2 linked regions of the Drosophila melanogaster genome follow. Changing the gene in region 1 together with any one later gene gives a genetic interaction. Each region holds a gene or a part of one and is shown in the gene's direction. Other genes may lie near its edges.

Region 1 (3,333 bases):
CGAATTCGGTAGCAACTTTTAAAAACCAATTATTAGGTAAATGGTGTTTTTTTTTTTTTTTTTTTTTTGCTTTATTATGATTTTCAGCGTTCATTCTTGTGGGATCAATTTCCTCTAATTTTCTGATCTCCTTTAGGGCAGCTGCTTATGGCTTTTTTTAAGATTTTATGCATTTATGGGAGCAATCTCGTAACTCGACTTATCCGTCTTCGGTAACGGTATTGCCTTCCCATTGCAACAAAGTTGCAAGTTGCGAATCCAGAAATTTGTTTCAGATTCAGCTCCTTACAGATTTATGAATGCTTAATTTAATTGCAGGGGGATTGTTGGTAAACGGAATAACTTTACTTTCTTGGACTGGGCATAATAAGTCACAACCCTACAGCAAGCAGCAAATAAATAAAGACATAACATTTTTTAAAGCTTTTTGAAATACTAATTTGCTAGTCAAATAACATTTAAAGACCTTTTTTAATGCTTTTCGACATACTAATTTGATAATTTAGAACTAAACCTGATTATGAGTGATGTCTTGATATTAAAGCAACACAAATGCTTCATGCTTTAAAATCAAAACTGCCATTCGATTTTTAGAAGTATTCCACGAAATAATTATCTTTAAAAGAAAATATTTATTCAATAATGCAACACTATCAAAATATTTTCCCAAAAAAATATTTTAAATTGCATCGTAGCCTTAATACGATTTAATGAGTTATGCAAATTAATTGAATTCAGTTTTTGTTTGTTCATACAAGACATATATTAACCAGTCAGAAATATTACATTTTTTGTCGAGTGCACAGCCCAAATTTAGATCGCTTTCTTGTATCACAAGCGTTTGATGAAAGGGTAAGAGTGTTTCGACTGCAACTTTGATCCCAACTGCTGTCAATATTCAATGCCTTTGTGATGGTTTCGTTTTTATTTGTCTGGCCGTCCCCTTACTTATTATAGTACGCTTGGTATTCATGATACAGCACACACTTGTGGGATTTTGTCTGCGCCGCTCTGCGATGTTATGTATCATTGTTTTGAAGCTTATGCTAATGCACCGGACTGATCGGAAGCACGTGTCAAATGCAGATGGGTCAGAAAAAATATTAATGAAGGTTCATAACATTACAGGATATAAAAGTGGATACGCAGTTTTAAAGACAGTGAAAGTCCCACGACATGGTCTTTTAAGTTTGTTTCTTTTGCCTTCGCATCATTTTCTTTCATTTGATGGATCACATTTTATATCAAATTCCCTTCCAAGATCTCACTCTCCTTTATTTTTCGCTTTCAATGCAAACGACATTCGACAAAAGTGGAAGTGCATTCAAAATCTTTTTTTTTAGCCATGACAAGGATCTTGCAGATCTGAGATTTAAAATTTTCCCAAAAGGAAAAAATGCATTATGTAGACGGACACAAAGGACAAAGAGTGTGTGGGAGAGGGAAAAGGATGGGTAGGTAGGCACACAGAGACTGAGTAGGAATAGAGGCACCCACCACAGAAAAAGAACCCCTAGAAAGAGAGGAAAAATGTACGATCACTTGTGCAAAGGACTTAGGTCCCGGTTTTTCGAGGGCAGGTAGCCAGGATCCGACCCCGTACCAACCCCTGTAGCTCCTCTGCCGAAGTCGCTGCCTCTGTCGCGGCGCGTTTCCCTCTGCCACTGCCGGGTATTTAAAGCCCTAGATCAGAACAGCAATTATCATTGCGGAATCTGATTCCACACAGTCAACATCTGTAAACTAAATCTTAGAAAACTCTCGCAAGGATTACCATGACGAGCATTTGCAGCAGCAAATTCCAGCAGCAGCATTACCAGCTGACCAACAGTAACATTTTCTTGCTGCAACATCAGCATCACCATCAAACGCAGCAGCACCAGTTGATTGCTCCGAAAATACCTTTGGGTACCAGCCAACTGCAGAATATGCAGCAGAGTCAACAGTCCAATGTTGGACCCATGTTGTCCTCCCAGAAGAAGAAGTTCAACTACAATAACATGCCCTATGGCGAGCAATTGCCATCGGTAGCCAGACGAAATGCCCGTGAACGCAATCGCGTGAAGCAGGTGAACAATGGATTCGTCAATCTCCGCCAGCATTTGCCTCAAACTGTGGTAAACTCGCTGTCCAATGGAGGACGTGGTAGCAGCAAGAAGTTATCCAAGGTGGACACACTGCGAATCGCCGTTGAATATATTCGAGGACTACAGGACATGCTTGATGATGGCACTGCTTCATCAACTCGTCACATCTACAATTCCGCCGATGAAAGTAGCAACGATGGCAGCAGCTATAACGATTACAACGATAGTTTGGACAGTTCGCAACAGTTCTTGACGGGAGCCACCCAGTCTGCCCAATCCCACTCGTACCACTCCGCCTCGCCCACGCCGTCGTACTCCGGATCCGAGATTTCCGGAGGTGGCTATATCAAACAGGAACTACAAGAGCAGGACCTCAAATTCGACTCCTTTGATAGCTTCAGTGACGAGCAGCCAGATGACGAGGAGCTACTCGATTATATTTCATCTTGGCAAGAGCAGTGAAGGGGTCTTACTAAAAGTCCCAAACAAACAAATATTGTACAAACTGTAAATACCCTAAATTGTTGCCTTAGTGAGTGTAAAACCAAGTCTCAAATTTCACATTAGCCTCTAAGTTACCCCATATTTTTTTTTATTATATTTTAACGCAATGGAAGACATATTTTTTTCATAGTTATAAGTTTGTTATAAGCATGGAAGACACTAAACTAACTACTTTTAAGCCAAAATAAAAACATATTGATAAATTTAATTCCAAATGTTTTTTACTGAAATCACTTACTCGTAAATATATTCAGATCGTCATGTAGGGTAATTACAACGAGTTCTCGTTCTCATACCAGCATCAGAGCCAAAAAGGTTTTTAAACAATCTGCATTTTGAAGCATTGCTTTGACTATATATATGTTATGATATTCGTTTTTAATTTATGTATTTTTATATTATTATTATTATTTTTTAGCTTAGCTGTTTTGGCCTCAGGCTTAATAATGGTACTAGCGATAGAAATAATAATTTCACAAAAAAGTTACCCAATTTATTATTTATATTCAATTACTTTTGGAGCGTGGACATGACTCACTCAAAATTCGTAACCAACATAGAGTTAAGCACCTGACAGGAAACAACAGCGAATATTTTCATGATTGGTTCCCTAACGAGCTACAATTCGGCCGGGAATTGTTAATGGCGCGTAAATAGCCCGGAAATAGGCAGTCACGCCTGAGAGGATGAAATTGTCCTAGTCCAAGGATCAGTACTTGAAGACTCGCACAATCCACGTGGC
Region 2 (4,660 bases), on another chromosome or scaffold:
GATTCTGTTCTGTTCTTTGCTTTTCTCCGTCTCCATTTTCTTGGCAATCAGCTCTCTGAGCCAGTTGCGTGTAACAGGTTTTTCCTCTTGAATAACTGGGACTTTCTTACGGGACTTTTTCGGAGAGTTTCTGCAGAGAAAACAGGTTAGAATCGGCACAGACTTGCAATAGATGATGAGGCAACAGCCGCCGCAAGAAGTTTACAACGGTGAGGCACACATTTCGCGTTCACGTTAGAACCAACGGTGTTTTAGCCAAGTTTAGCTGCAAGCTGCTAGTAAGCTGGTTGGCAGAACCACCAACCAGTTACCAGTTACCAGTTAGCTCTTGATTGTTGTTGCGCAAGCGGCAGCTGAATGCGGCGCAGAATAAATCTAACATGATTTAAGCAACGGAAAAACATGAAATATTAATGCCGATGCTTGAGTCTTGGCTCCGAATCAGAATCCGAATCCGTCCTAACGGTGGTCGCTCCGTTCGCCATCATCGACCCTCCTCTATAAGAAGTTTGGCCCTATGCCACCCAATTCCCCCACTCCCCTCCCCGCCCTAATGATGGCTCGATCCGATCGGTTGGGCTGGGGCCCAGTTGGGCGATTAGTTCAAATTTGCCCCGTCTGTTGGCCAATGGCCGAGATGTTCTCGGTTCGCCCCTTTTTTTGGGCATTCTTGACTCGAGGGTCATTGTGGTCATAGCTGTTCTTTGATTGGTTTTTGCCCAAATTGGCATTGGCAGCTTTAATTAGCGAGCTTAACATTTTAGTGCATTCTTGTAGTTTTGAGAGCACTAAAAATGCGCATTTTATGACTCATTTAAAAATATATATGTGCCAATGTTCATACTATTTATGACACTTTAAAGCTTTTTATATACATACTATATAATTATAAATACATGTATATTATCTTTACACAGCTTGTAGTAGACAAGACTTCGTATATATAATGACTTACTACTGCATCTATAGTTTATCCGTGTTCTACAAATTTGGTTTATAAACGAGGGGTTAACCATGAATTACATATCTTATGCACTATTTAAATGCATAACAAAAGAAAATATTTGTTTACCAAATATGTTTCTTTTTAAACATGTATATATAAAAATATATATCATAGTTGATTTTTTATTAACTAATTTTATGAATTTTTACAAATATTATAAATGGCAGTTTCAGTTGTTAGTTGAGTAAATGTCGAAAGTCAAGCCCAGAAGACTCATTCAAAATTTTCCGCCCTTGGAATTTCCACCTCGAGCGTGCAGAAATTTCCCATGACGCTTTATCACCACGACGGGAATTTTCCTGGCCCTTAGCCCGCCCCCGCCCCCACTGAGAGTTTTAGGGGTGGAAAAGCTGCGCAACAAACGTTCGTTCGACTGTGCTCGTTTTCCTTCGTGTTGTGGCTTCCAGTTTTTCCTGGCTATGCACTTGGCATTATGCCTACTAACCCTATTTTCGCAGCAGTTCGCAGCGAGTCCCATTTTTCAACTTGCATGCGGATACACACGCACACACACACTCGGATTTTCCTTTTCCCAGAAACTGAGGCGCAACCCCCACGAAACGGAAAGTTTGTGCAGCGGCAGAACGAACTGTGTTTGTGGCACTCGAATTTGGGACACATTCCTGTAAAGGACGCAGCTCCGGTCAGCTGCTTCGCAAAATCGACAAAAAGGAGTCACAAAAAAACGCGCGCGGTGCATTTAGCCACAAATCTCTGAAAGTGAAAATACAAATATTGAAACAGTGAAATCCACAAACCAGCCAAAAGTGAAACAAAATTGAACACAGTGCTTAATTAATATCGAAGCTAAAGGGATAGAAATCCGATTAGGAAAAGGGAAAGCTGCAGCGCTGCTCCTGTTTGCCAAATATTGATTCGCAAGTGTGCCGCTGAAAAATCGATTATTAAAGCCACTTTCCACACAGCTGGTGGTTGTTGTTGCCGTGAGGATGGAGGTGGTGCTTGGGGTGGTGGTTGCATAGGGTTGCGTGCCGCGATGTGGGAAATCAACAGCAACATTGGCACATCCACATCCAGATCCAGAGGCACACTTCCAACTGTTTTGACGTGGTCGGGTTCCAATGGCGCTGACACTACCGAATGCTGCAGCGCAGCCTTGCAGCCATCCAGCGGCGACGCGTTGCATGTGCAGCAGCAACAGCAACAGCAGCAGCAACATCAGCAGCAGCAGCAGCAGCAACAGCAACAGCAGCAACAACAGCAGCAGCAGCAGGATACGAAAACGAGGATGACAACGACCACAGGCAAACGCGGAGGACACAGATACAGAAGCAGGCTCAGTCACCGAAGCACAGCAACAATTGCTGCATATTAGGCAGTAAAGTAAAGTTAAACACAACCCAAAACCGAAAAGACTAGCCCAAAATTTACTCAAAAACCAACACAAGTGGAAAGCATTAATCGGAATGTCGAACTCTATGCATCGCACAAAGTTACGTTAAGTATACGACGCGTATTTCCAGCTGCAAAACGAACCAAAAACGAACCGAACGAAACGAAACGCACAGGTGCATCTGCAGACCCCACTACGCCCCTAAAAGCCCACTCCCCCCCCTTTTCGAACCCTCAGCCCCTCATTAGGCCACCCCCTCTGGGGTATCTACACCAATTGACAAGCAATCGAGGCAATGCAGTATGAATGAACTTGTTTAGTCGACAATTTTTTAAGTGCACTTTCGTAAGGCTGATTTTCAATTTATTTCGATGTTGTGCTTCTACACCCAAAAAAAAAACCAAATATAACAAGTAACAAATACAAGCATAAAAGAACCCAAGAAATTCAAGCAATGAACCAAGTGAAAGTGTGAGTGTTTAGTGTTTTAAGCGAAGGCGAAATCCGGACATTTGAGAGCCTTTGTGAGTAAACGGCCGCCACAACGGATAGGCCCAGAGATCTCCTGCTGATACAGCAGGCCAAGCCCGCCGGCGGCAGCAAATCCTCCAGCGGTGGTCCAACGTATATCGGCACCGATGCCGCCACAGCAGCGGCGGTGGCCAATCTGCGCAGCAAGGTGCCCTCCATCTCAATAATCCCGCTGCCCGTCTCGACCACCATTGTGGCACGCAGTGGTAGCGGTGCCTCTGGCACTGGCGGCAGTGGAGGAGCACCGCCAGCACTGCCCCAGCTGATCCAGTCGTCGCGGAGTGTGTCCACCAAATCCACGGGCACGTCTCCACCATTGGCCTTTATAACGGAAGGTTCTGGAACATCGGGTGCTCCCGCCCTGACACTGCTGCCACGACCCCAGCAGCAGCACCAGTACCAGCAGACCGACAAGTGCACGGTCCTCAAACTGGACGTACTGAAGCAGCAGTCGGGTGTGGCAGCCAACTCCAGCAGTAATACCTACCTGCAGATCGAGCAGCAGCTCAGCGAACTGGAGGCCGCCGACGAGGAGGAGGAGAACATGGCCAGTTTGCTGGGCAGTGCGCCACCCGCCCAAATCCTGGCCAACCAGCCCATCATCGTCAAGATCGAGCCCACGCAATCCTTCCACATCGTGGACGAGGGCGACACGAGAGTACTGAGCTTGCCCCTCAGCGATGCTGATAAGCTGGGCGCCAGTTGGATAGATCTCAAGGATATTGCCGGCCTACAGGCCGGTGGCGGAGCCACCTTGCTGGACGTCTGCTTCGAGCAGGCCAACGAGGACGGCACCATCATAGCCACCGTGCAGCCGGACTTGGAAAACGAGCTCGAGGCTGAGCTAAAGGCGGAGGGCGAGCCCGAGGATGAGACTGAACCAGAGCCTCCGGCGCCCAAGAGATTGGCGACCACCAGGCCAGCACAGTCGCGGCCACAACAGCAGCAGCAACAGCAGCAGCAGCAGGTGAAATTCCTATCGGATCCACCGGCATTGGCACGCTCCAGCAGCTTCAGCAGTCTCAGCAGCTTTAGCAGCATCAGCAATATCAGTTCCGTGTGCAAGAACATGGCCAGCAATACCAGCCAGGAGGGCTCCCTAAAACGCACAAAGGAGCGAACTCCTCCACCAATGCCACCGCTCACGACTCACAAGCCCGCTGCCACAACAACAGCAACATCAGCAACATCTGCAGCCGCAGCAACATCAGCAGCAACAGCAAGTGCAACAGCAACATCGGCCAGAGAAAACAGCAGAGAGCACAGCAGCAGCAGCAGCGGCAGTAATGGAGCCATGACAGGTATGTTCCAGTGCAACTCTCAATTATATTTTAGTCAATTTGGGAATATATATACTGTTCGAGACGATAATATATCTACCAATAATATATCTTCATATGCAAAAGCAATGTTCTTCGTCACTCTTGCTCTTAACAAACGTTAAAGAATTTTACTAAGCCATTGTGAGTGATTGTAGCAAATATTTGAAAGACCTTAAGTCAAGGATTCCCGCGAGTGATGAGTTCGCACCCCAGAAAACTCGGCAAGAATTCCACTTGTTGCGAACAACCGCCGGCTAACCACAGCACAGTGAGCACTCGCCCAGAGCGACCACCAACGATCAGCGATGGTTCAGATAATCGCACCCATATCCCCCAGATCCCCTCCCCCTTCCCCCTTCCCCATTCCACGCCAGAATCCGAGCTATGCAAATGAACGCTCGCCCATTGCGCAAGCATCCCAGGCAGCGGCAATTAACAGGCTGACAC

What was found. Genes that interact genetically often act in the same process or in processes that back each other up.
Region 2: of l(1)sc (region 1) and Hr3, changing one enhances a phenotype caused by changing the other (phenotypic enhancement), as found in Drosophila melanogaster (one study listed by BioGRID).

Annotation. Positions count from the first base shown.
Region 1 is NC_004354.4:408,021-411,353, forward strand, and holds l(1)sc (lethal of scute), read left to right. Parts: upstream 1-1,700; 5' UTR 1,701-1,775; coding exon 1,776-2,549; 3' UTR 2,550-2,797; downstream 2,798-3,333. UniProt on the Drosophila melanogaster protein: AS-C proteins are involved in the determination of the neuronal precursors in the peripheral nervous system and the central nervous system.
Region 2 is NT_033778.4:10,231,556-10,236,215, reverse strand, and holds the start of Hr3 (hormone receptor 3), read left to right. Parts: upstream 1-1,608; 5' UTR 1,609-2,003; coding exon of another isoform or gene 2,004-2,342; 5' UTR 2,343-2,904; coding exon of another isoform or gene 2,905-3,435; coding exon 3,436-4,192; intron 4,193-4,660. Other genes in the region: CG12912 (uncharacterized protein), read left to right, coding at 2,004-2,342. UniProt on the Drosophila melanogaster protein: Putative receptor whose ligand is not yet known.